3 linked regions of the Pelodiscus sinensis genome follow. The protein of the gene in region 3 purifies or fractionates together with the protein of the main gene of each other region. This does not show direct contact. Links are inferred from orthologs where the notes say so. Each region holds a gene or a part of one and is shown on either strand. Other genes may lie near its edges.

The links. The genes of interacting proteins can lie anywhere in the genome.
Region 1: the proteins of FBXO10 (region 3) and ACSL4 purify together in Homo sapiens (affinity purification with western blotting; 3 studies listed by BioGRID, with this or other methods). This does not show direct contact. The link is inferred for Pelodiscus sinensis from reciprocal best matches to the Homo sapiens genes FBXO10 and ACSL4.
Region 2: the proteins of FBXO10 (region 3) and PDE6D purify together in Homo sapiens (affinity purification with mass spectrometry; 3 studies listed by BioGRID and IntAct, with this or other methods). This does not show direct contact. The link is inferred for Pelodiscus sinensis from reciprocal best matches to the Homo sapiens genes FBXO10 and PDE6D.

Annotation. Positions count from the first base shown.
Region 1 is NC_134723.1:28,414,357-28,421,321, forward strand, and holds the start of ACSL4 (long-chain-fatty-acid--CoA ligase 4), read left to right. Parts: upstream 1-3,951; 5' UTR 3,952-4,150; intron 4,151-4,209; exon of another isoform or gene 4,210-4,541; intron 4,542-6,965. UniProt on the Homo sapiens protein: Catalyzes the conversion of long-chain fatty acids to their active form acyl-CoA for both synthesis of cellular lipids, and degradation via beta-oxidation. Preferentially activates arachidonate and eicosapentaenoate as substrates.
Region 2 is NC_134720.1:49,903,273-49,911,195, reverse strand, and holds the start of PDE6D (retinal rod rhodopsin-sensitive cGMP 3',5'-cyclic phosphodiesterase subunit delta), read right to left. Parts: upstream 3,015-7,923; 5' UTR 2,847-3,014; coding exon 2,797-2,846; intron 1-2,796. UniProt on the Homo sapiens protein: Promotes the release of prenylated target proteins from cellular membranes. Modulates the activity of prenylated or palmitoylated Ras family members by regulating their subcellular location.
Region 3 is NC_134716.1:740,253-748,055, reverse strand, and holds the start of FBXO10 (F-box only protein 10), read right to left. Parts: upstream 3,009-7,803; 5' UTR 2,947-3,008; coding exon 2,845-2,946; intron 1-2,844. UniProt on the Homo sapiens protein: Substrate-recognition component of the SCF (SKP1-CUL1-F-box protein)-type E3 ubiquitin ligase complex. Mediates the ubiquitination and degradation of BCL2, an antiapoptotic protein, thereby playing a role in apoptosis by controlling the stability of BCL2.

The DNA.
Region 1 (6,965 bases), on a different chromosome or scaffold from region 3:
TGCTAGAGTAGAGGTTGAGGGCATCAGGGAAGATCTGTGATGTCCCCTCAGGGCTGATGCCAGAGCACTTGGGGATGAAGCCACAATCCTGCGCCACCAAGAGTCCCTCTCTTTCCGTGAGGTCAGCGCCTGGGTCAGGGACAAAGTCAGCTCGATTAGGCCTCTCGCAGCTTCAAAGGTATCTGGCATCAATGGTTCTGGGAAGTCTTCCGCTGGGCTGACATCCCAGCGCAGGTTGGAATGAAGTCTGGAAAGAAGGTCCGGATGCCAAGCCCACTGTGGCCCCGTACCCTTCCTGAGGGTGCACTGTGGGCATGTGCCGCGATGGAGACTGGCCCCTGCTTGGCCTCTATTTCTCCTGTGGCACCAGGGATTGAGAATGGTGCTGGCACTGTCTCGGTGTTGAGGAGTCCCTGGAGTGGCCGGGTGCCTCATACACTGAGGCTGGTGCACTCTGTGTGGTTGGTGCGGAGTCCAAGACCAGTGACAGATGGAAAGCCGCCTCCATAAGCAATATTTTAAGGTGAGTCTCACGCTCCCACTTGGTTTGCGGCTTGAACCCTCTGCAAATCTTGCAGGACTCCAAAAGATGGCCCACCCCCAAGAACTTTAGGCAGGCTTCATGGGGATCTCCACAGGGCATAGGCTTTGAGCACTTGACACAGGGCTTGAAGCCTTAGGGTCCAGGCGTACCCTGCCACAGGTGCTGGGAGCGCAAAGTGAGTCCCTGACCCAGAACGAATCACTTAACACTAAGAACTATTTATAGAAAATAATGAACGATTAACAGCAACTCTAACTAAACTAAGGCAACCACTAAGTAAGAACTGCTAGGGAGGGCTTCCAGAGCAAGAGCAGAGCACGTTCCATTGACCATCATGGGCGGTAAGAAGGGGTGGGGGCCAGTAGGGGTATATATTAGCTGATATAGTGGTGGAGGCTTCCCTGCTGGCCCAACAGGTACTGCTAAGGGAAAAACTTCTGTCGATGCACGCATGCAGTGTGCACACACCTACATGGAATGGACATGAGCAATCACTCAAATAATAAGAGTCTGAGACATGGCTGTAGAGGGGAGCCCCTTTAAGCACAAGCCTCAGATAGCCTCAGGAAGCAGCTACAGGAAGTGACTGCTGTCTTGATGCTCTGAGTTGAGTGTTTCCGGGGGGCCTTAAATGCCATTCAGGCTCCAAAGAATGTGGGCACGCTCTTTCAATATAGATCTGTGCTATTTCAATGGGGATTTGTAGTGGGGACATGTCATTTCAAAATAGTTATTTTTATTATGTTGAAATAACTTATTTCAAAATAATCTTGTATTGTAGACATAGCCTAGAATAAGCTAATGAAATAAATAATATTTAAATAGATCTTAATCTGTATGTCTAAGTTGATTCTGCCTTCTAGATCTCCTAATGCCTCTCCCTTTTCTGTTCTTAGATCGTAAGCTCTCTGGAATAGGAAAACTTTATAGCGGGGCTACTCAACTTTGGAAGCCGCAGGAGCCACAATGATACTCACAGCACATGCCGAGGGTCGCAACTTAAGTGTGGTTGCACATACATGCAAAAATATATGCAAATATATGCAAATAGCTTCTTTCACACTGACTGGCATGAAAAAAAAGATTAAGCCTTAAGCCACGGCACCAGACCCAAACATGGCCAGTTAGTACCTCTCAGGCTCTCCCCACAAGGCTAAATAGCTAGCACTTCCCACAATGCACTGGCACTCCCAGCACCTCCTCCCTGGGGGCCAGAAATGCCAACACGATGTACCCATTTGTTCCAGCCAGCCCGTCCACCTGCGTCTTTAATTGCTCACCCTGCCTTGCCATTGTGGAGCATGTTCCCAGTGGAGTCCATGTTCAAGGGATCCCACCTGCAAGCTGTGTGTTGAGCCCTGCATAAACCCAAACCAGACTGCAGGCTGCAAACAAATGGGCTGTGGGCCTCATGCAGCCCATGGGCCATGTGTTGAGTAGCCCTGCTTTAATGTCCTGGTTGGTGTAACAGATTGTGACGGCGCGTTGGGGGTCCCCCGTCTCCTGCACCCCAAAATGGCACAAACAGACTCCACCAGCCAGTGGAATTGAGGGTGGTTTATTGCTCCTCCAGGATACAGCATAGCACAGATGTAATCTGGTTACAGGAACTGGGGCTAAGAGGCCTCAGTGCTCCCCTTGAGATGGGGGGTTCCCAGCCCCCCTCCCCAGCTCCTTCTCCCCTGCTTTCCAGACAGGAACTAACTAATTGCAGCCAGGGCAGCATTCCACCTTCCTTTGTTCCTCTCCATGGGGGGTGTCTGGTTCAACAAGTTTGGCTTTACCTTTGCATAGTGAGGTTTTCCCTGCTGGGTCTTGCTCCATACAGCAGGGGTCACCACAGCCCAGCAAGTACCCCCACTACGTCACACAGATATGACAATTTCTTGCAATATCCTTGAAAAATGTCTTGCTGAATTAAGTTTAAGTATTTAAGTGTCTTTGGAACCCATCACACTAGTTTATGTATTTTTGTCTGCCAGGATTGTATATAACCTCTCTAGAAGGGAAACAGGATATTATTAATCTTGCGAATACTGTATTTATGAATTTCAAAGAACTATATCAAACAATATATCATGCAAGAATGGACTTTCGGAATAAACAGTGTCAAGTGTTCACCTGGGCAATCTCTAGTGAGAGGTGAGTGCAAATTCCCCTCTTGCTTCTGCAAAACCCAGTTTATTGAAGCTTTGTCCAGAAGAGAGCACCATTATATGCTGATTACCAGTTTTTAGTCTGAAGGTTAGAGGCCTAAGGTGTACAAAGGAAATACTAACCTATTCCAACAGAACATGCCATGAACTTGTAACACCTTGAAAAACTCAGTTCTGGAGTTTGGAGGACTGACACCTACCAAAACCCTAGGATATGTCTACACTAGCACTTTTGTTGGTAAAACATTTGTTGGCCAGAAGCGTGAAAAGACCAACAAAAGATTCACCAACAAAAGTATCAGTGTGGACAGCATTGTGTTGGTTGGTTAGTGTGCATGTAGGTTATTTTAACGTTTTATTACATTTTCTCTGTTTTCATCTTAAACAAATGTGCTTCTTAGAAATAGCTGTGTGGTAACTTGTAACTGCTACCATTTATAGTTTTTCATAGACTTTGGGCAAAAAGTAAAGCACAGATGCTGACCTGTTTGGGCAGTCTGGCTTGCTGGAGATATCACAATATAGGCAGGGAATTGTGCTGTCTGGAGAAAACCTGGTCACGAGTGGGGAGATGTAGATCTCTGCCCAAGAGAGATGATGGCCTAAAAGTGGGTGCCATGGAGGGGGAAATAGGTACAGTTGCTCTGAAATGTAACAGATGGCATTTAACAAATAATTAAATATGAAGCCCCCAAAGGCTGGAGTTTAATAAATAAAGCAGTCCTGTATGATCTCAAAACAGCTTTTGCAGCTACTCATGTCATGTGTCCCCTCAGTTGGGGGTAGGGTCACTGTCATATTTTGGGGGACTACCTGGGCAAGTTTGAAAGCAATAAAAATGAGACCTGCCTAAGTCACTCTCCCATGGAGTCTTTTACATTCACTTGCTTGTTACTTCCCACACATCTCTAATTACTCTCCCATGCATTCCTCTGCTCCTTCCTGTCCTGTTTAGGTCTCATTAATGCTTCTTCCTCCTCATTCCTGCTTTCTCCACTCCATTCCCTGCATTACCAAACTCACCCCTTCTCCTTTCTCACCACCTACTCTCCCCTACACTGCACCCCCGCTCCTTCCTCCCTCTGTTCCCCCCATGCCTCATCCCCTGCTCCTTCCTCCCTCTGCTCCCCCCCCACCTCATCCCCTCTGCTCCTCCCTCTGCTCCCCCCCCACACCTCATCCCCTCTGCTCCTCCCTCTGCTCCACCCGCTCCCCACACGCTTCCCTCTCCCTGCTCCTTCCTTCCTCCCCCCCCCCCCCCGCTTCCCCCCAGCCCACACCCGCTCTGGTCCGGCGATGGCGTCAGCGGAGCCGACAGGGGGGATTGGCCGGCGGGGCACGCGCCCCTCCTCCCGCTCTCCCTGAGTTCTCAGCCATTTTAAACAGCGGAAGGAGGCAGCAGCCGGGTTCGCTGCAGCCGGAGTCTGGAATCTGCGCGCGCCACGAGCGGGTGAGTGCGCCCCTCCTCCCCGCGCCAACGGCCGTTCGCGCGCCGCCGGGTGCTTGCTGCGCTTGTGGCCCGGGGCTGAGGGGGTCGCTGCGCCCACGCTGCCCGGGGAGCTCGGCGGGTGGGGGATTCGCCGGCTGCCCATGGGGCGGGGAGGTGACGCTGAGGCTGGCCCCAGGCTGCGGCCTGTCAGCGACAGCGCCTTCCTGGGCGGGCTGCCCCGGGGAGGCGTCGCGTGGGCGCTGCCCGCCCTGCGGGCTACCGGCCGGCGTAGACAGGTCGCGGCGGTGATGGGGAACTGAGGACAGCGTAGCCCGCGCAGGCCCCTGGGGAGCCGCCCGCCTTTCCAGCGTCTCCCCTCCCCCGCTGCCTGCTCCCGGTGGCTGCACACACGGTAACATCTCTGGGGCGCGGGCTGGGTCTGACTCCGCTTCCTGCCGCGTGCCCTGAGCAATAATCTCCCCACTTGCACGTGCCTTCAGGGGTGCGGAATGCCCAGCAGGTGTCTGGAGTGTGGCACTTGCCCCCGGCAGTGTCTCCTCAGCCCTCCGTTTCCTGCCTCGGTACAGAGCAAGTTGCCGTGGTTGTCCTGCATCAGAAACGTCTCCCGTCCCCCCCCCACCCCACCCCATTCACAGCTGTTCTCGCAGGGCTGGATGCAAAGCAGATGGCCCTTTGTGGCCTCGGCAGTCATCCTTCCTCTTACACACGCCCCCTTTCTGGATGCAGAGAAGAAGGTTGGGCTCAGGAAGTGGCCTGATGCTGATGTAGCACACGGGGGGGGGGGGGGGAAAGGAAAATGTGATTCATTGCTTAGCATCATCCAAGGCTGCATATCTTCTGTTGCACGTCATGACAAGATCATATACTAAATGCAGAACAAGAAAGTGGCGTATTCCTTTTTGAAATACAAGCTGAACTTGATAGAATTGTAAAAATTTTGCTGTGTAGTTTTTGGCGGTTGCCTTTTAAGCCGATTTAAAAGCATACAGGTGTACTTAGTGCATCTGAGGTAATGGCACTAAATGTGGCAATTTGGGAGCACTAGGAATTAATTTTTCTGGATAATTTATGAAGTCCAAGTTCTGTAGTAATTCTGTTTACCAGTTGTTGATCTGAGGAAAAGAACATACTGTAACTGTGATGGAAATAATTGTTCTCTTTTTCTGATTGTCATCTTACTTATTGGCTGTGTCTACACTGGCATGAATTTCCGGAAATGCTTAAAACGGAATACTATTCCGTTTTCAGTTATTCCGGAAAAGGAGCGTCTACATTGGCAGGCTGCTTTTCCTGAAAAGCCCTTTTTCCGGAAAAGCGTCTGTGGCCAATGTAGACGCGCTTTTCCGGAAAAGAACCCCAATCGCCATTTTCGCGATCGGGGCTTTTTTCCGGAAAAGACTACTGGGCTGTCTACACTGGCCCTTTTCCGGAACAGTGTTCCGGAATAAGGACTTATGCCCGAGCGGGAGCAGAATAGTTTTTCCGGAATAGTGGCTGATTTTGTACAGTAGAGCATCGTTGCTTTTCCGGAAATTCAAGGGCCAGTGTAGACAGCTCGCAGCTTATTCCGGAAAAGCGGCTGATTTTCCGGAATAAGTGGCCCAGTGTAGACACAGTCATTAAGTCTTCAAACAAAAACCTTTGCATAAAGGTTAATAGCATGAAAGATTTGGTCCAAGTTGAGAAACAACACAAATCAAGTGAATTGGCTGTCATAGTCACTGAAGAATTTTTTTTAATTGTCTGATTAAAACCTTCTATGTTGTTGCTACCATCTTAGGTTATTAAAACTGAAATATTAATCTAATTTACTTTTGGTCATTAATATTGTTTCTTACATTTTCAGCATTGCCTATCCCAACTACTCAAAAATCTGGAGTCAGGCCACAATAATCATGGGATTGTCTTAAAAATCATGAGATTTTTTTTAAATTTATTTTTTAGTATTAATATTTTTCTTCTGATCTGGGGATGTTTTAACGTTCATGTCAAGCTTTTCTCTACAATCACAATGCTTAGACTCTTTCTTTTAATAAAACAAAACCAGATTCTCATGTAATCTAAACAAGCAAACCCTACCTACTATGGTACTTATTTAAATCAGTAGTTGGCAACACTGCATTTCACCCTCACTTTGTCTAAAACTAGAGAGAGAATTCTTTAATCACCTCTAAAAGGCTTTATTCAACACAAATATTCAGATGTTTCTGAATGTATTTATAGTAAGTTAGAAATATCCTACCATGCTAGTTTAAAATTGAGTTAACGTTTGAACAAAGTGTTAAACAGGACTATGAGCCTGAGCCAAACAATTGAATTATATATATTTTACATATGTTGCTGGTTAATATTAGTGGCATTTTGGCAATTTAGGAGGAAAGTAACATTTTTTCATGGATGACTCAGATAAATTAAAAAAAAAAGAAAAGCTAATAATTATTGAGGGTACAGCAGAGCTGAAATGAATACATGAATAAGTTTCCATTGCATGTTTGGTTGTTTATTCAGTCATTTATCTTGAGGTCTAGCTTTTGAGGATAGCTAGGAGGAAAGGAAGTTTGAGTGGGAGAGTCTTTTTTTCCAGAAGGATGCAGGATGTACAGTCACTTTATAGTGCTTTTTTATTTTGGTAATAGAAATGTAGCTGTGTTAGTCTAGTCTAGCTGAAACAAAACACAGGACTATGTAGCACTTTAAAGACTAACAAGATGGTTTATTAGGTGATGAGCTTTCGTGGGACATGGGGGGGAAACTATCACCCCAGTTATCACCTCTAATATCACTAGCTCACAGACATTTACCTCCCCTCTTAACC
Region 2 (7,923 bases), on a different chromosome or scaffold from region 3:
TACATCAGACAGCAGCCTTACAAATGAAGTCTAAATCATGCTTCTTTAAGTATTTAAATGATGTTTTCTAATGAATCAAAAGACATCACTTTCCATGTGATACTTGCTTTTTGTCAATTCCTCCATCAGGGCTCAATTTCTATACTATTCCAAGACCCTGTCATTTTGAAGGAGCAAATGAAACTGAACTTATGTTGCTCCCAAATGATGGTGCTCAGCATTGTCATTAAGCTACTAAGATGGGCCATAATGTGTGTTAAAATTAATTACATTAGTCCTACACTGGTCTACTGGAAACTATTTAATTTCACATTTGCATATGCAGTGGTAGTATAGCTATGTCAGTCCTAGGAATTAGAGGGAGTGAAGGTGGGTGAAGTAATAACTTTTATTGGATTAACTTCTTTCACCAACAGAAGTTGCTCCAATAAAAGATATTGCCTTGCCTACACTATCTCTGAGGGTAAGTCTACACGACAGTGCTATTTTGAAATAATTTAGTCTGCATCTACACAAGCAGGCAGTTATTTCAAAAGAATGTCAAAATACTGTCAAACTGAAGGGTTTCTTACTCCTACTCCTGTAACCCTCATTGTACGAGGCATAAGGGAATAGAATCACAGAATCACAGGAAGAGACCTCGGGAGGTCATTGAGTCCAGCCCCTTGCCCAAAGCAGGAACAATCCCAACTAAATCAACCCAGCCAGGGCTTTGTCAAGCTGAGACTTAAAAACCTCTAGGGATGGAGATTCCACCACTTCCCTAGGTAATCCATTCCAGTACACTTCACCACCCTCCTAGTGAAATAGTTTTTCTTAATATCCAACCTAGACCTTCTCCATGAAGGAAAAAGTTCTATGTAGATGCTCCCAATTTTAAAATATGCTACACATAGCTCAATTTGTGTAGCCTTATTTCAAGTTAAAACCTGCGTAACCTAGGTCAAAGGCTCATGTTAGTACAGACAAGGCCTCCATGTAAATGAGCATAGTTCATCAAACTCATTGAGCATGAGTCTGGTTTATACCAATACCCTTTTATTCCACTATGGCAGTTTTACACTCACTTCACATTGCCAGAGCAAAATACAAATAAGTGATAAAAGCTGCTTCTCACCATTGAAGTAAAACTAGTTCTAGGTGTTTAATGCTGTACAGATGCACCCTTACATTTGCACAACATCTTCCCTTGCTAAAACTGAAAAAGTTTATTATTTTAATCAACTATACACAGGGATTGTATCCGTCCCATCCATCACTGAAATATAGCTGCTGCTTAAGTTTCCTAGCCCGCAAATGCTGGAGGGCCAAATAAAAACTAGCAGCTGGAGTTTATGCCCTGTGCACGTCTGAGGTCTTGAGCTAGTGGGAAATGAAGACTCTAGCTTGTTAGCTTAAATTTGTCAAAAGTTTAATCTTCTCTAATAGCCTGAACATCTCAGCCTTGGTAACAATATTCTTGACAACTGAAACATGACAGCTGCATGTACAAGGAAGAACTTCCAATGCTGCTACTCCAGAAAAAATATTTTTAAGACTGACTGGATACAGGGGGATCACTGCTAAAAAGAGGGGGGGGGAAATACCATACTTTCACAGGGAGAAACATCTGCTCACACTTTCAGATGGTAGCTAGTTGATTAAATCCTACATAGAACAGCTCAGAACATCATTCCACAGCTGTTAGAGATTATATACAAACTGATGCAGCAAAAATCTCAGCAAGCAAAATAACCAAAAATACTACAGTACCACAGTAGACACTACTACTTTTGCTCTCTTGAATTTGATCAGTAACTACAGTTTCCCCTAGCGTCCAGACCAAGACCAGCACCTTCCTACTTTACATTCATTACACTGAAAAATGAAAGGCTGGGTCTTTTAAAATAAACTTACCCTATTTCTCCTACTCCTTTCACACATGTACTCCTTTTTAATGGAATCTTTCCACCCTTTACTAAAATCCTGGGTAGGCGAGGAATCCAGGATTTCAATTCTCCTTCTTGCCTTAGGTTTCACTTCTTGCTCAGTTAAACAAAGCACATACAAATTTAAGATGAGCATCAGCGGGCCCCATGGAAGGGCAATGTATACCATGTTAGTGATTACACACAACAAGCACTCTAGATAGCAAGCTGTACCACATCCCACTGCCTGATAGGCAAAAGAGGGGGGGATTTTTGGGTCAACCAAAGGAACAAGGTAGCTACTTATCTACACCTCTTTTGGACTTTGAAGTTAGGCGTTTCCCTGCCAAGCAGAGGTGGATCCTTAAGTTGCAGCCACTATTCAGAGCGTAAGGCTGGGAAAGAAGGGATAGGACTGCGGTGAGAGGCAGTGATCATCCGCGTCTCAGGACTTTGCCCACACAGACACACCTGCCTACTTTTCATTCCCTCGCCCAAGCTCTGCTTCCCGAGCAAAAATGAAACCACAACCCTGGAGCACCAGGCACGGCTGCTCGCCAGCTGCCCTACCTGCTGTCCAGCAGCAGCCACGCCTGGACAGCTCCCGCGAGCGGATCAACTCGGCAGGGATGGGGGGTCCGGGGGGACGGCGGGTCCCGCCGCGCAGCGGGAGACGCGGGACGGCGCAGCCGCTGCCCCCCCCCCCCCCCACAGGTGTAACCCGGCACGGAGCCTGGCGGGCCCCCCCGCAGTTGGCCGGGGGGGGGGGGGCAGCGGATCTGCGCCCCGCTCCTCAGCACGCGCCGGGCTCGGTGACAGCACCGGGGGGGGGGGCCCTGCTCGCCGCCCCTCCCCCCCCGAACCGGCCCCTCCCCCGCCCGGCGGATACAGCTTGAATCCCCTCAGGATCTCCTTGGCCCGCTCGTCCTTGGTCGACATGGTCCCGCGGCGGCTCCGCTCCGCGCCCCGGAGCCGGGCGGGGGGGAGGGGGGCTGGGCGCGCTCACGGGCCTCACCGGGACAGCGACCGCGGCGCTCGGGACGCTGCACCCGCCACCGTCCGACACCCCCAACCAGAGCGGACCGGAGCCGCCCCGCCCCTGGGAGCGCCGGCCAATCGCCGCGCCCCGCGCCACCGCGCCCCGCCCCCTCGCTCCCGACCGACAGCGCCCGCAGCCAATCAGGCAGCGCCGTCTGCGGCGCGCAGGAAGGGAGGCTGCGCGGCGGTCGCTAAGGGGCACGTCCCAGCAAACTGACGTCGCCGAGAGACGGAGGCGGGAGCCAGGAGCGGAGCTGCAGCTGCGGGTCTCGGCCACAAGGGGCGCTGCCGCGCAATTGCGCATGCGCCGCTGAGGGTGCTTCGCTGCGCCCCCTGCCGGCGGCAGCATTGGCTGCAGGGGCAGGGAGCCCCCATCCTTAGGACCTGGCACACTTGGGCAACCCCACCCCCCAGCAGCTATAGGAGTAAAACAGCTGGCTGTGGCCCCCAGCACCACCACCCCTTGCACTGGGCCTCCTGCTGCAAAGGGCGAGTGCTTCCGCCTGCAGTCCCCCCTCGAAGGGCTAACCATCCGACATCCCAACATGGGCCAGAGAGCAACTCGCATATCCTGGTCAGCCTGTACCCCATAATGTTCCCTAGGGTGTGATGTCAGCCTTGCCTGCCTGCTCCCTCCCCTGTATGTAGCTGCACCCCGACTGGGTATAGTGCATGGTCCCAGCTGGGGCACTGAGACCACTTGCAGAGAGAATAATGAGTCTGCTCTACAGCCTTAGCTGAGATCCAACTGACTTTTAGCTCAAGTGCTAGAGCAGGGGAGGGCAGGGGCGTCCCATGAACCTAGGCAAACTAGGCAATAGCCTAGACCGACGCTGGCCGGGGCGCCCCATGATTACGTCACGGCCATTGACGGCAGTGCAGGCGGGGCCGCTGATCGCGCCTTCCGCCTAGGGCGCCAGCTGCCACAGCCGGCCTCAGGCCACTCCTGGGGGTGGGCAAAAGGGCCTCCGTGGGCCAGATCCGGCCCACCGAGTGGGTTGATCTGGCCCACGGAGGCCCTGCCGCTTCCCCCACCCCCAGGCCAATTAGGACCTGGGTGTGGGGAAATGCGAAGCTTCCTCCCACCCTGGCAGGACCATGCAGCGCTTTGAAGCACCATGCGCTCCTTGCAGAGTGGGAGGAGACATCACGTGCTCCCCCGCCTCCAAGTGCTGCTTGGCCTGGGGGTGGGAGGAGTGCGCAAAGTTTCCTCTGCCCTCCCCTCGTCCTGCAGCACTTCAAAGTGCCATGCACTCCTCGCAGGGTGGGAGGGAGCTTCGCACACTTCCCCACCCCTAGGCTCTGATTGGCCTGGGGTTGGGGGAGCATGCAACGCCTCTTCCCGCCCTGCCAGGGGCATGGGTGCCTAATGGGAAGGGGGGCAAAGGGGTTCCCCCACCCCGAGACCAATCATGGTCTGGGGCTGGGGTAGCCCAGAAGCATCCTGGCCCCACCAAAAATTATTGCCTCCCCCCCTTGTGCTAGAGGTTAATGCACTAAGCTCCAGAGGTCGCAAGTACAGTTCCGCTTGCAGCATTTCACAGTCAGGCCCTATGCCCGTGGATGGACATAGAATCATAGACCACTAGGCCTGGAAGGGAGCTTGAGAGGACAGCGAGTCCAGTCCCCTGCCCTCACAGCCGGACTCAACACCATCTAGACCAGACATGTCAAACAGGCGGCTGGAGGGCCACATGCAGCCAGATCGAAGTTTTTTGTGGCCCACCACTACATTTTATAAAAGGATAAAGTGCGGCCTGCTGGCTGCTCGGAGCACATGGCCAAGTGCAGATCACACACGGTCAGCCGCTCTACACACGGCACCGCAGCAACTGCTCGCGGCCAGCTGGGCTGCTCTGCTCACGGTCCCCAGCACGTGCTCCTGGCTGGCCGGGCTGCTCTGCGCAGGCTTCAAGTGCCTGCTCACAGCTGGCCGCTGTACTCACACCACCCCAGCACCCGAGGAAGAAGTGTGTGGCTAGGGTTGCCAGGTAGACCCCGCCAAAAACCGGCTGGGACGGGGGTGGGGCTGGCCAGGAGGGGGGCGGGACGGGAAGCAGAGCTGGCGGGGGGGGGGGGGGGGTCTGGGGGCCGTGGGGCTCGCCGGGAGAAAGGGGGGAGCTGGGAAGCAGAGCGGGGGGGATCGGGGGCCACGGGACTGGACGGAAGGAGAGGGAGGCCCAGAGGAAGGGGGGCGGGAAGCAGAGCTGGTGGGGGGGACGGGGTGCAGCCACTGGCCACAGCCGGAGTCCTTCGGGCCGCGGCCCCGGCAGGCACTCCCTCTAGTTGCGGGGGCGGGGGTAGGGGGAAGGCCTGCGAGTCACTCCCCCCGCCCGGCTTCTGCACACAACCAGAGGCTCCCAGCTGGGAATCGGGGCTGCAATTGGTGCTGGGAGCCTCTGGTCACGTGCAAAAGCTGGGCGGGAAGAGTGGCTGGGACCAGCCACTGCCTCCGCCCCGCCCAGCGTTTGCACGTGACCACAGGGCTACCAGAGCCAATCACGGCCCCGCCTCCCAGTCGCTCCTCCGCCCCCACCAGGCTTCCCTCCAGCGCCCAGCAGGGAACTCAGAAAATACCGGACATTGTACGTGTCCAGTATTTTCAGAATTTTTCTACCAGTCAGAGGGTACAAATACTGGACTGTCCTGGCAACCCTATGTGTGGTGGGCAGCTCCGGGACCCAGGCATTAGGTTGGGGAGGCTGGGAGTGCCTGGCTCTGGGGGAAGGGGGAGGCATTAGGTGGGAGGGGGCTGGGAGTGCCTGGCTCAGGGGGAGGGGAGAGGCATTGGACCACAGACCTTTAGCTCTTCCCCTTGTACAAGCATACAATTCAGTGTTAATTGCATGGTGTCACATACTGTTTCTCAAATAATATGATAGCATGCAGTTTTTTTCCACCAAATGGAATGGAATCAAGAGTACTGTAATATATACACACACAAGGGGCTGATTTGTGGTTCCCAGTTTAATTTTCATATGCCCTGAGTTTAAAATACCTAACTGTACTGTGTTAATATTTGTCATATGATTTCCTTGGAATGTAGGCATTGCCAGATCAGCCAATGGGACCCTCTAGTCTAGTCCAGTATTGTAACTACAAAAGTGGCCAATACAAGATGTGTCATAGGATGGGGTATGTGTGTGCTCGCACATGTCCACAAGAAATGATAGTGGGCAGTTATCTCCAGATAGGAAATGTTTCTTCTTCACTCCTATCAGTTTGTGCTGGCTTATGACCTGAAACAGAGTGGGTTTTAATCTGTTTTTTATCCTACCTATGGTTATTTTAATGTTTTCATTATCAATAAGCCTTCATTCTTTTAAAAGTCTAACAATCTTTTGACCTCACTGCTATTAAATGGCAGTGAGTTCCACAGATGAATTGGGAAAAAAAGTTTCCTTTTATTATTTTTTTGTCATGTTTTGGCTGTTTGCTCATCAATTCCCACTTTGCATACCTGATATATGATGAACCAGAGGCTCAATAGATTGTCTAGGAGTGATGTTTTGTGGCAAGGGACTAGGGCCGTGAAGGAGGAAAGCCCGAGACTTAAATGTACTTAACCAATTACAAACTTTATTGACTACAATTTGATTATATTCAATTACTGTCTCTGATTTGTTTAAGACAACGTAGCATGCAAATAAAACATACATTAAAGAAATTCAATACAAAAATAATAAGCTGATGAATAATATATTAAGCAATACTTACAAACCCAGTGACAATTATGATACACAGACAAAAACAACGCGTAGCATGCTCCGGATTCGTACACCCTTTCGTGATTCGGTGGGTGGGAGGCGGCCTTGGGTGATCAACCCCTTAGCCAGGCTGGACGATACGTTTCCTCTATCTTGATACGGAACCTCCCCGAACTTAGGGCTCAGGGTGCTTTATACTATAATTTTAACATCCGGTACCATATTAGGGTTATTTGATATTTTGTGGTACTGTGTACATATCAGGGTTCCTTCCTTGTGATATGACGTCTGATTGTGGTCAGTGCCTGATGCAGACATGATTGGCACACGTGAAAGCTAGCTATGTTTTTTGTTTCCCTGCTCCAGGTGCTTCTTAACTGATGTATATGACAGCTCATGTCTCTTATTCCTATCTTGTCCTGTTTTTTAGTGCTCGTTAACTTAGTGTGTGGGACAGCTTGTGTCCCTACTCTTATCTTTTTGGCCCAGGTGCTTGCCAAGTTAAGTTCCCTTTACTGAGGCTTGAAGGCCCCTGGCCCGGGTGCTTGCCAAGTTAAGTTCCGTTTACTGAGAACTGTGCTGAGCACCCGAGGGACTTCAAGCTCTATCTCTGGATCTGCCTCAGCAGCCTGTGTTTTTCTTGTGAGGGGCTTTAGTGTGGCAGTAAGGGCAATACGCGCGAGACCGTGGTCAAAAGGACCTGCTACACGACAATATCTATCTTACATTTTACCTATCCTTATTTCAATTTCTGCTGTATAGACTTAACTTGGGATAGGTTTCCAGTTTCTGAAGGATACTCATTTGGCTCAAAAAACATCTGCTTTAAAGATCAAAAAGGAAAAGGAAATTATCCAGTTTTATATCTAAGAAGTACCAGCCAGTCAAGGGTAACCGGGGTATACCAATATTGCTAATAAATATGCACTTGTACATCAGTCAGCCAAAGGGCAAGTAACATGGGATAAGAGGGAAAGTTCTTTCATGGATTGAGAACTGGTTAAAAGACAGGAAACAAAGGGTAGGAATAAATGGTACATTTTCAGAATGGAGAGGGGTAACTAGTGGTGTCCCCCAACGGTCAGTCCTGGGACCAATCCTGTTCAACGTATTCATAAATGATCTGGAGAAAGGGGTAAGCAGTGAGGTAGTAAAGTTTGCGGATGATACCAAACTGTTTAGGATAGTCAAGACAGAAGCAGACTGTGAGGGACTCCAAGAAGATCTCACCAAACTGAGTGATTGGGCAACAAAATAGCAAATGAAATTTA
Region 3 (7,803 bases):
CCCGAGGGGAGCGGCTCCATAGAGACCAGCAGCAGAGTGCCAAGCAGCAGGGCACCAATGGAAACGGAGCCTCGCAGGGGGCTGGATGAGTCTGCAGCGCGTCCTGCAGCAGTGTGGGGACGCCCATAGCTATGGGAGGGCACCGACTTTCCTGGGAACAGCCCCTGGGTCAGGGCCGGAGGGCGGAAAGCAGGCGTTCTGCGAACGAGCCGAGCTGGGGCGGCCAAGGCCTCGGGTATAGTCCCCGGACGGGGCAGGGGCCTCAGCAGAGGGTCTCTCGGGGAGGGGGTGCCCTCTGGAGAGCAGCCGGCCACGAAGGGATGGGCGACAGACTCTGGCTACGCAGATGCAGACTGGTCCCTTGTGGGGTCCCGCACTCGTACCGGGGACCCGAGCCAGCGGCGCGCGGGCAGGAGCCCCTCCCTGGGTCACCCCGCAGGAACAGCGCCTGGCTGCTAAGGGGAAACACTGCTCGCACCCCGGGTGAGGGGCACACGCCCGGCGCTGGAGCCACAGCACACCCTGCCCCCCATTCCTGCAGCCGGACGCCGGGAGCAGGGCCGGTCTTACTGCCTCTGGGCAAAGCCCTGGCGCCCCCCGGCGCGAACGCTGCCCTGAAACCGCAGGTGCGGGCGGAGAGGGGCCGGGTGCCTTTCGAGCTGCACCCCAAGGTGGTTGTGTGCAGGCCCCGGTGGCTTCTCAGAGGGCGGCTGCGGCGCCCCAGCCACCCCGCCCCTCTTACAGAACCGAACCGCTCCCCGCGCTGGGGCGGCACCCAGCTCCCTTCGGCACCGGCCAGGAGCGCAGCGTCCCTGGCTGCAGCCTGCCCGCCTCCCTGGCCCCCGAAACGCCAAGTCGCTGCTCCCCCGCCAAGTGGGGTGGTCAGAAAACAGGCAGCACAGCCGCACCCCCCAGCAATGAGCCAGCAGGGGGGCATTCGCGCAGGACACGAACCCCTATGGCACCCCACCACTTAACTATACCCCGCTGCCCCGTGCACCCCCACTCTCCCGCTGCCCCACATACACCTGCCCTGTGAACTTCCCGCCCCATGCACCCCTTCCCCCCCGCTGCCCCATGCACACCCCCGCCCCATGAACTTCCCGCCCCATGCACCCCTGCTCCCCACCCTGCCGCTGCCCCACATGCACCTGCCCTGTGAACTTCCTGCCCCATGCACCCCTGCTCCCCACCCTGCCACTGCCCCATGCACATCCCCGCCCCGGGCACCCCCACTCTCCCGCTGCCCCACATACACCTGCCCTGTGAACTTCCCGCCCCGTGCACCCCTTCCCCCCACCCTCCCGCTGCCCCATGCACATCCCCACCCCATGAACTTCCCGCCCCGTGCACCCCTTCCCCCCACCCTCCCGCTGCCCCATGAACTTCCCGCCCCGTGCACCCCTTCCCCCCACCCTCCCGCTGCCCCATGCACACCCCCGCCCCATGAACTTCCCGCCCCGTGCACCCCTTCCCCCCACCCTCCCGCTGCCCCATGCACACCCCCGCCCCATGAACTTCCCGCCCCATGCACCCCTGCTCCCCACCCTGCCACTGCCCCATGCACATCCCCGCCCCGGGCACCCCCACTCTCCCGCTGCCCCACATACACCTGCCCTGTGAACTTCCCGCCCCATGCACCCCTTCCCCCCCGCTGCCCCATGCACACCCCCGCCCCATGAACTTCCCGCCCCATGCACCCCTGCTCCCCACCCTGCCGCTGCCCCACATGCACCTGCCCTGTGAACTTCCTGCCCCATGCACCCCTGCTCCCCACCCTGCCACTGCCCCATGCACATCCCCGCCCCGGGCACCCCCACTCTCCCGCTGCCCCACATACACCTGCCCTGTGAACTTCCCGCCCCGTGCACCCCTTCCCCCCACCCTCCCGCTGCCCCATGCACATCCCCACCCCATGAACTTCCCGCCCCGTGCACCCCTTCCCCCCACCCTCCCGCTGCCCCATGCACATCCCCACCCCATGAACTTCCCGCCCCGTGCACCCCTTCCCCCCACCCTCCCGCTGCCCCATGAACTTCCCGCCCCGTGCACCCCTTCCCCCCACCCTCCCGCTGCCCCATGCACACCCCCGCCCCATGAACTTCCCGCCCCGTGCACCCCTTCCCCCCACCCTCCCGCTGCCCCATGCACACCCCCGCCCCATGAACTTCCCGCCCCATGCACCCCTGCTCCCCACCCTGCCACTGCCCCATGCACATCCCCGCCCCGGGCACCCCCACTCTCCCGCTGCCCCACATACACCTGCCCTGTGAACTTCCCGCCCCGTGCACCCCTTCCCCCCACCCTCCCGCTGCCCCATGCACACCCCCGCCCCATGAACTTCCCGCCCCGTGCACCCCTTCCCCCCACCCTCCCGCTGCCCCATGAACTTCCCGCCCCGTGCACCCCTTCCCCCCACCCTCCCGCTGCCCCATGCACACCCCCGCCCCATGAACTTCCCGCCCCGTGCACCCCTTCCCCCCACCCTCCCGCTGCCCCATGCACACCCCCGCCCCATGAACTTCCCGCCCCATGCACCCCTGCTCCCCACCCTGCCACTGCCCCATGCACATCCCCGCCCCGGGCACCCCCACTCTCCCGCTGCCCCACATACACCTGCCCTGTGAACTTCCCGCCCCGTGCACCCCTTCCCCCCACCCTCCCGCTGCCCCATGCACACCCCCGCCCCATGAACTTCCCGCCCCGTGCACCCCTGCCCCCCACCCTCCCGCTGCCCCATGCACACCCCCGCCCCATGAACTTCCCACCCCGTGCACCCCTGCCCCGTGAGCTCCCCACTCTTGCACCGCCTGGCCCCGCGCAAGTTCGCAGCCCGGCCCCTACCTCAGATCTCGCCGCGGGGCCGCCGCATCCCGGCAGCGGGGCGCGGGGGCGAGCGGGGCGCGGGGAGGCTCCCGGCCGGGCGCGGGGCTGGCGGCGCCGCATCACATGCGTGTGGGCAGGGCACGCCGGGAGCCGAGCGAGCCGGGCCTCCGCGCCCCGCCCCGCCGGGCAGCGAGAGCCGCCCAGCGCCGGGCCCATCCGCAGGCATAGCGCCCGGCTCTCCCCGCAGCGCCCCGCCTCCACGCACCGTGGCTCAGCCGGGCTAGCCGCCAGGGCGCGGGCCGATCTGGGGCCCCTGGCCGGAGAGGGGCCGTGTTCCCTCTGGCCTTTCCCCGCCAGTGCGGAATACCTACCTGTTCTGTGCGCCCAGGCGGGCCGATGTGCACCACCAGCAGAAACACACCGAGGTGGGCACCCTGCTGATCAGCTGGGGCAGTGGAGTCTCGCCAGCGCCCGCATGCTGGGCCAGTGCCGGTCTGTGCCCCACCACGCTGCCCCACGGTCTGTGCCCCACGGTCTGTGCCCCACCAAGCTGCCCCACGGTCTGTGCCCCACCAAGCTGCCCCACGGTCTGTGCCCCACGGTCTGTGCCCCACCACGCTGCCCCACGGTCTGTGCCCCACGGTCTGTGCCCCACCACGCTGCCCCACGGTCTGTGCCCCACGGTCTGTGCCCCACCACGCTGCCCCACGGTCTGTGCCCCACGGTCTGTGCCCCACCACGCTGCCCCACGGTCTGTGCCCCACAGTCTGTGCCCCACCACGCTGCCCCACGGTCTGTGCCCCACAGTCTGTGCCCCACCACGCTGCCCCACGGTCTGTGCCCCACCACGCTGCCCCACGGTCTGTGCCCCACCACGCTGCCCCACGGTCTCTGCCCCACGGTCTGTGCCCCACCACGCTGCCCCACGGTCTGTGCCCCACCACGCTGCCCCACGGTCTGTGCCCCACCACGCTGCCCCAGGGGACGGGTGTTGCAGAAGAAGACAGGTAGGTAGAACTCTGCCGGGATTATTTTGCCCAGAAGGGCCCGTTGTGATCATCTCAGACCCCCTGCATAGCACAGAGCAGAGCCCTGCCCCAAAGGAGTCCCAGAGCAGAGCTGTGAGGAACCCCCCTTCATTTACAAATCGCCAATGCCAACCTCACCAGGACCTGGGCCAAAATATTCCAGTGGTCAGTTACCTCCCGGCTACAAATCTGTGCCGTAGGTCCTGTCGCAATTTGTCCAGCCGCGGGACCGTCCGACCTTTCCCTGCCAGACAGAAGAGCCGGTGGTTACACGTTTGCTTGTCTACACACCTGCTTACAGACTGATCACGTCACCCGTTCATCTTCTCGCCGCTGGGCAGAACACGTTGAGCTCCTTGAGTTTGTCACTGCACAGCGGGTTTTCTGATCCCATCATTTGCATGGTTCTGTGGACCCTTCTCAGTTTATCACTACCCCCCTGGAACCATGGGCACCAGCTCTGGACACGGGATTCAGCAGCCATCACAGCGGAGCCAAACACGGCAGTAAAATAAATAAGCTCTCTCCTCCTACTTGAGATTCGCCATTCTGCATCCCCGGATTGCATCAGTCCTTCTGGCTCCCGGGTTGCACCGAGAGCTCATATTCAGCGGCTCATCCACCCTGACCCCCAGATCTTTCCGAGTGGCTGCTTCCCAGGAGAGAACCCAGCCTGTAACTACTCTCCCCATTCGTGTGTCATCTGTAAGCTCTCTCAGGGCTGGTTTTGTATTTTCTTCCAGGTCATGGATCCAAGTGTAAAACAGGCCTTCTCCCTCCCCGCCTCGTTCTGCATGGAGCCAGAGTGCCAGGGAACGGAGACACATGGGGCTAACGCTCCATGGGGCTGGCCTGGACTCCAAGTTACAGCTTCAAACACGCTCTCCAAGCGGAGTCCCATATGGGACGTGCAGGCCTCGGGTGGGAGCATGTCATCTTTCCCAGAGTGCTCAGCAAAGAGCAGGTGCATGACTCTTTGGAGTGAGCAGATTGCGTCATTCCTGCTGCAAAGCTCTGATCCTGGCGCCAGGAGCCCCCAGCAAGCTCACCGAGCTCCTGCTCCGTGGTCCTTTTGGATAAGTCGTCCCAGTGTGTTCGAAGGGTCAGCCTGCTGGCTGTGTTCCTGTGGCTCAGCCGTACTAAGGGTCGTGGTGCCTCTCTGAAGCTGTGCGGGGGACCGGCCCCTAGGAGTCATATAGATCTGGCCACGAGGTGACACTAGAGCCATACACAGTAACAGGCCCCTGCTCCGAGCTACATTTACACTTGAGCGACTTGGCTGCGTGGCCTTGAGAAAAGCTCCAGATGTGGCTTGGTGCATCCATCCAGCTTGGAGGAGTAGGGTCCTATAAGATCCATCACTGTACACTCCTTTGGGGCAGGGATATTTGGGTTTGTTCCCTGCCCAAGCCAGGAGACATGACATAACGTCCAGGGCTATCATTGCTTGTGGTCGTCGCCAGCCCCAGAGATTGCATTGGCCATAAGCCCCCGAGATTCCCACCAGGCCTGAGAGCATAAGGCTGGTGTCAACACACGACTGTTCTTACCTCACACGCTATAGCAGCGCCCCGATGGAAACAGCTGCGGAGGACTAGGAAATGCAGAGTTAGACTCGCCCTGGCAAGAAGAGAAGAGTTTTGAGGAAGGGTGGGCTTATGGCTAGAAACCTCTGCTCTGTGACCCAGGAAACCAGGGTTTGATTGGTTGCTCTTGTGGGAGTGGAGGCCAGCTAAATGCCCCGATTGATAGAGTAAAAAACAGCAAGTATCAGAGAACCCAGAAGGGCTGAGTTAAGGTGACTCTTCTCACAATCTGAGTGTTTTACTCACCTAGCCAGTGCTCAGACTTATACCCAGTATGACACCCCCCCGCCCCACAAACAGGCGTCAATATTTTTCAGACACAATTGTGCCCCACTTCTGCATGTTTAATGAGGCCATATGATGGGCCGTTCCTCTTCCTATGCTACAAGGGACCCTTATCCTAGCATGGCTCCAGTGTCCCAGGTAGAACCATATTATATCACTGATTGATATCAACGGTAAGCTAGTGCCAAAAATACTTGCAAAGAAACAAGAGAAAGCTCTGCCAGTCATTAATCTCCGTGGTCAGACTGCCTTCGTTAATATAGAAACAGAGCAGGTAACCTATGGCAACCGAGGACCCTGCCTAGCGGATAGTGCACTGGCTTTTATTTGAATTAGTGAACAGAGAAATGATGCAATAAAGATGGAAGACACTTGGGTGTAACTGGAGTCTGTGTTTTCCAGATTCGGTGAGCTGATGGCTGCTTCCAGAGTACACATGGGGTGCACAGTGAAAATGGGGCTGCATTGTCCCATCTTCTGGGCTGGGACCTAGGAGACCTGGGGTTTATTCTCAGCTCCACTACCGTGGGAAGTCACTTGCCCTTTCTGTAAAATGGGAACATGGACATTGCCCTCCTTTGTAAAGTGCTAGGGAATGCTAGTTAGCTCCAGTAAGACTCAGCAATTTGCATACGATTCCTGTCATTAATCCAAATGGAATGTAAAGATAAAGAACAAATAATAGAAAATGTATGCACTGTTAGATAATAGAAAATGGATGTAAGTTAATAGAAAACGTCTGCACTGCTAGATAATAGGATACTAAATGGAGGAATTTAACATAAGGATTTTACTTTTTGAGAATGCAAGTCAATCAAATAAATTAAAGTCTTATTGTCCAGGGAGGCACTGAAGCCAGTTCTCTACTCAGGACTGGTCCCTTGGCCCTGGAGTGTCCGATTTCGGCTCTTATGCATTGCTCGTCACTGTAGTACCAGGGCATGTGCGTGCCAAAACCGCCTCCCAGAATAGCACCCCCCCAAGGCTTCAGAACCCTGCTCAGCATCGCCAGCTTCTCCTGCATTAGCAAACCGCTGCGCTAGTTCCCACAGAGCCCGGCCTTCCCATGCACAGACGTCACAGAGGATCCTGTGTATCAGCGAACTCGGACTTGAATAAATCTGGCGTATTAGGCTCCTTCTCCGCCATTGGCTGGAGATCCTGAGGGCGCTCGAAGGCTCTTCAGTGGGAATGCTTGTACTTCAAATTCAAAAACTTCCTCCCACCCATTTCCCACAGTGAGTCGCCCTCTCAGCTGCCTCCCAGGCCCCTCGCCATGGCCCCTCATTCCAGCCCTCCGATTCCTGCGACGGTGTGTGGGTTAGCGGAATCCCTCTCCCCCAGGGACGGAGGGCGGCCCTCTCACAGGCAGCGATGTGTCTGCCAGACACTGTACATCCAGGCTTGCTGGCCATGCCTGACAGTGGAACTCTGTGAGTAATGGGTAGCAGGTTTAAAACTAATAAAAGAAAGTTCTTCTTCACACAGCGTGTAGTCAACCTGTGGAACTCCTTGCCAGAGGAGGCTGTGAAGGCTAGGACTATAACAGAGTTTAAAGAGAAGCTAGATAATTTCATGGAGGTTAGGTCCATAAAGGGCTATTAGCCAGGGGATAAAATGGTGTCCCTGGCCTCTGTTTGTCAGAGGCTGGAGAGGGATGGCAGGAGACAAATCGCTTGATCGTTGTCTTCGGTCCACAGCCTGGCAGTGTGGGAAGGCATTGCTTTCCCCTGCCTCTGATACCCGCCCCCCATGCCTACCGACCTGCATGCTGCTCGGCCCGTCCCTGCAGAACTGTGCAGCCCGACGGTGGCCCAGACAGTAACGTTGCTGAAACAGCTGTGCTCTGAGGCAGGGATATTTAATCCGGCTAGGCAGAAGGTAAATTGCATTTTCCACCCTCCAAAATGAAGGCGCCACTTCCTCTGCCGGAGCGTTCTTTTCACCTAACGAAAGTGCAGCCTGGCATGAAACCTGTGATGAAGACGCCTAGACACAGTAATTAGCTGGGAAGCATACAATTCCCTACATCGTGAATATCTGGCTGAGGCCACAATAGCAATTTATACAATTCCTCC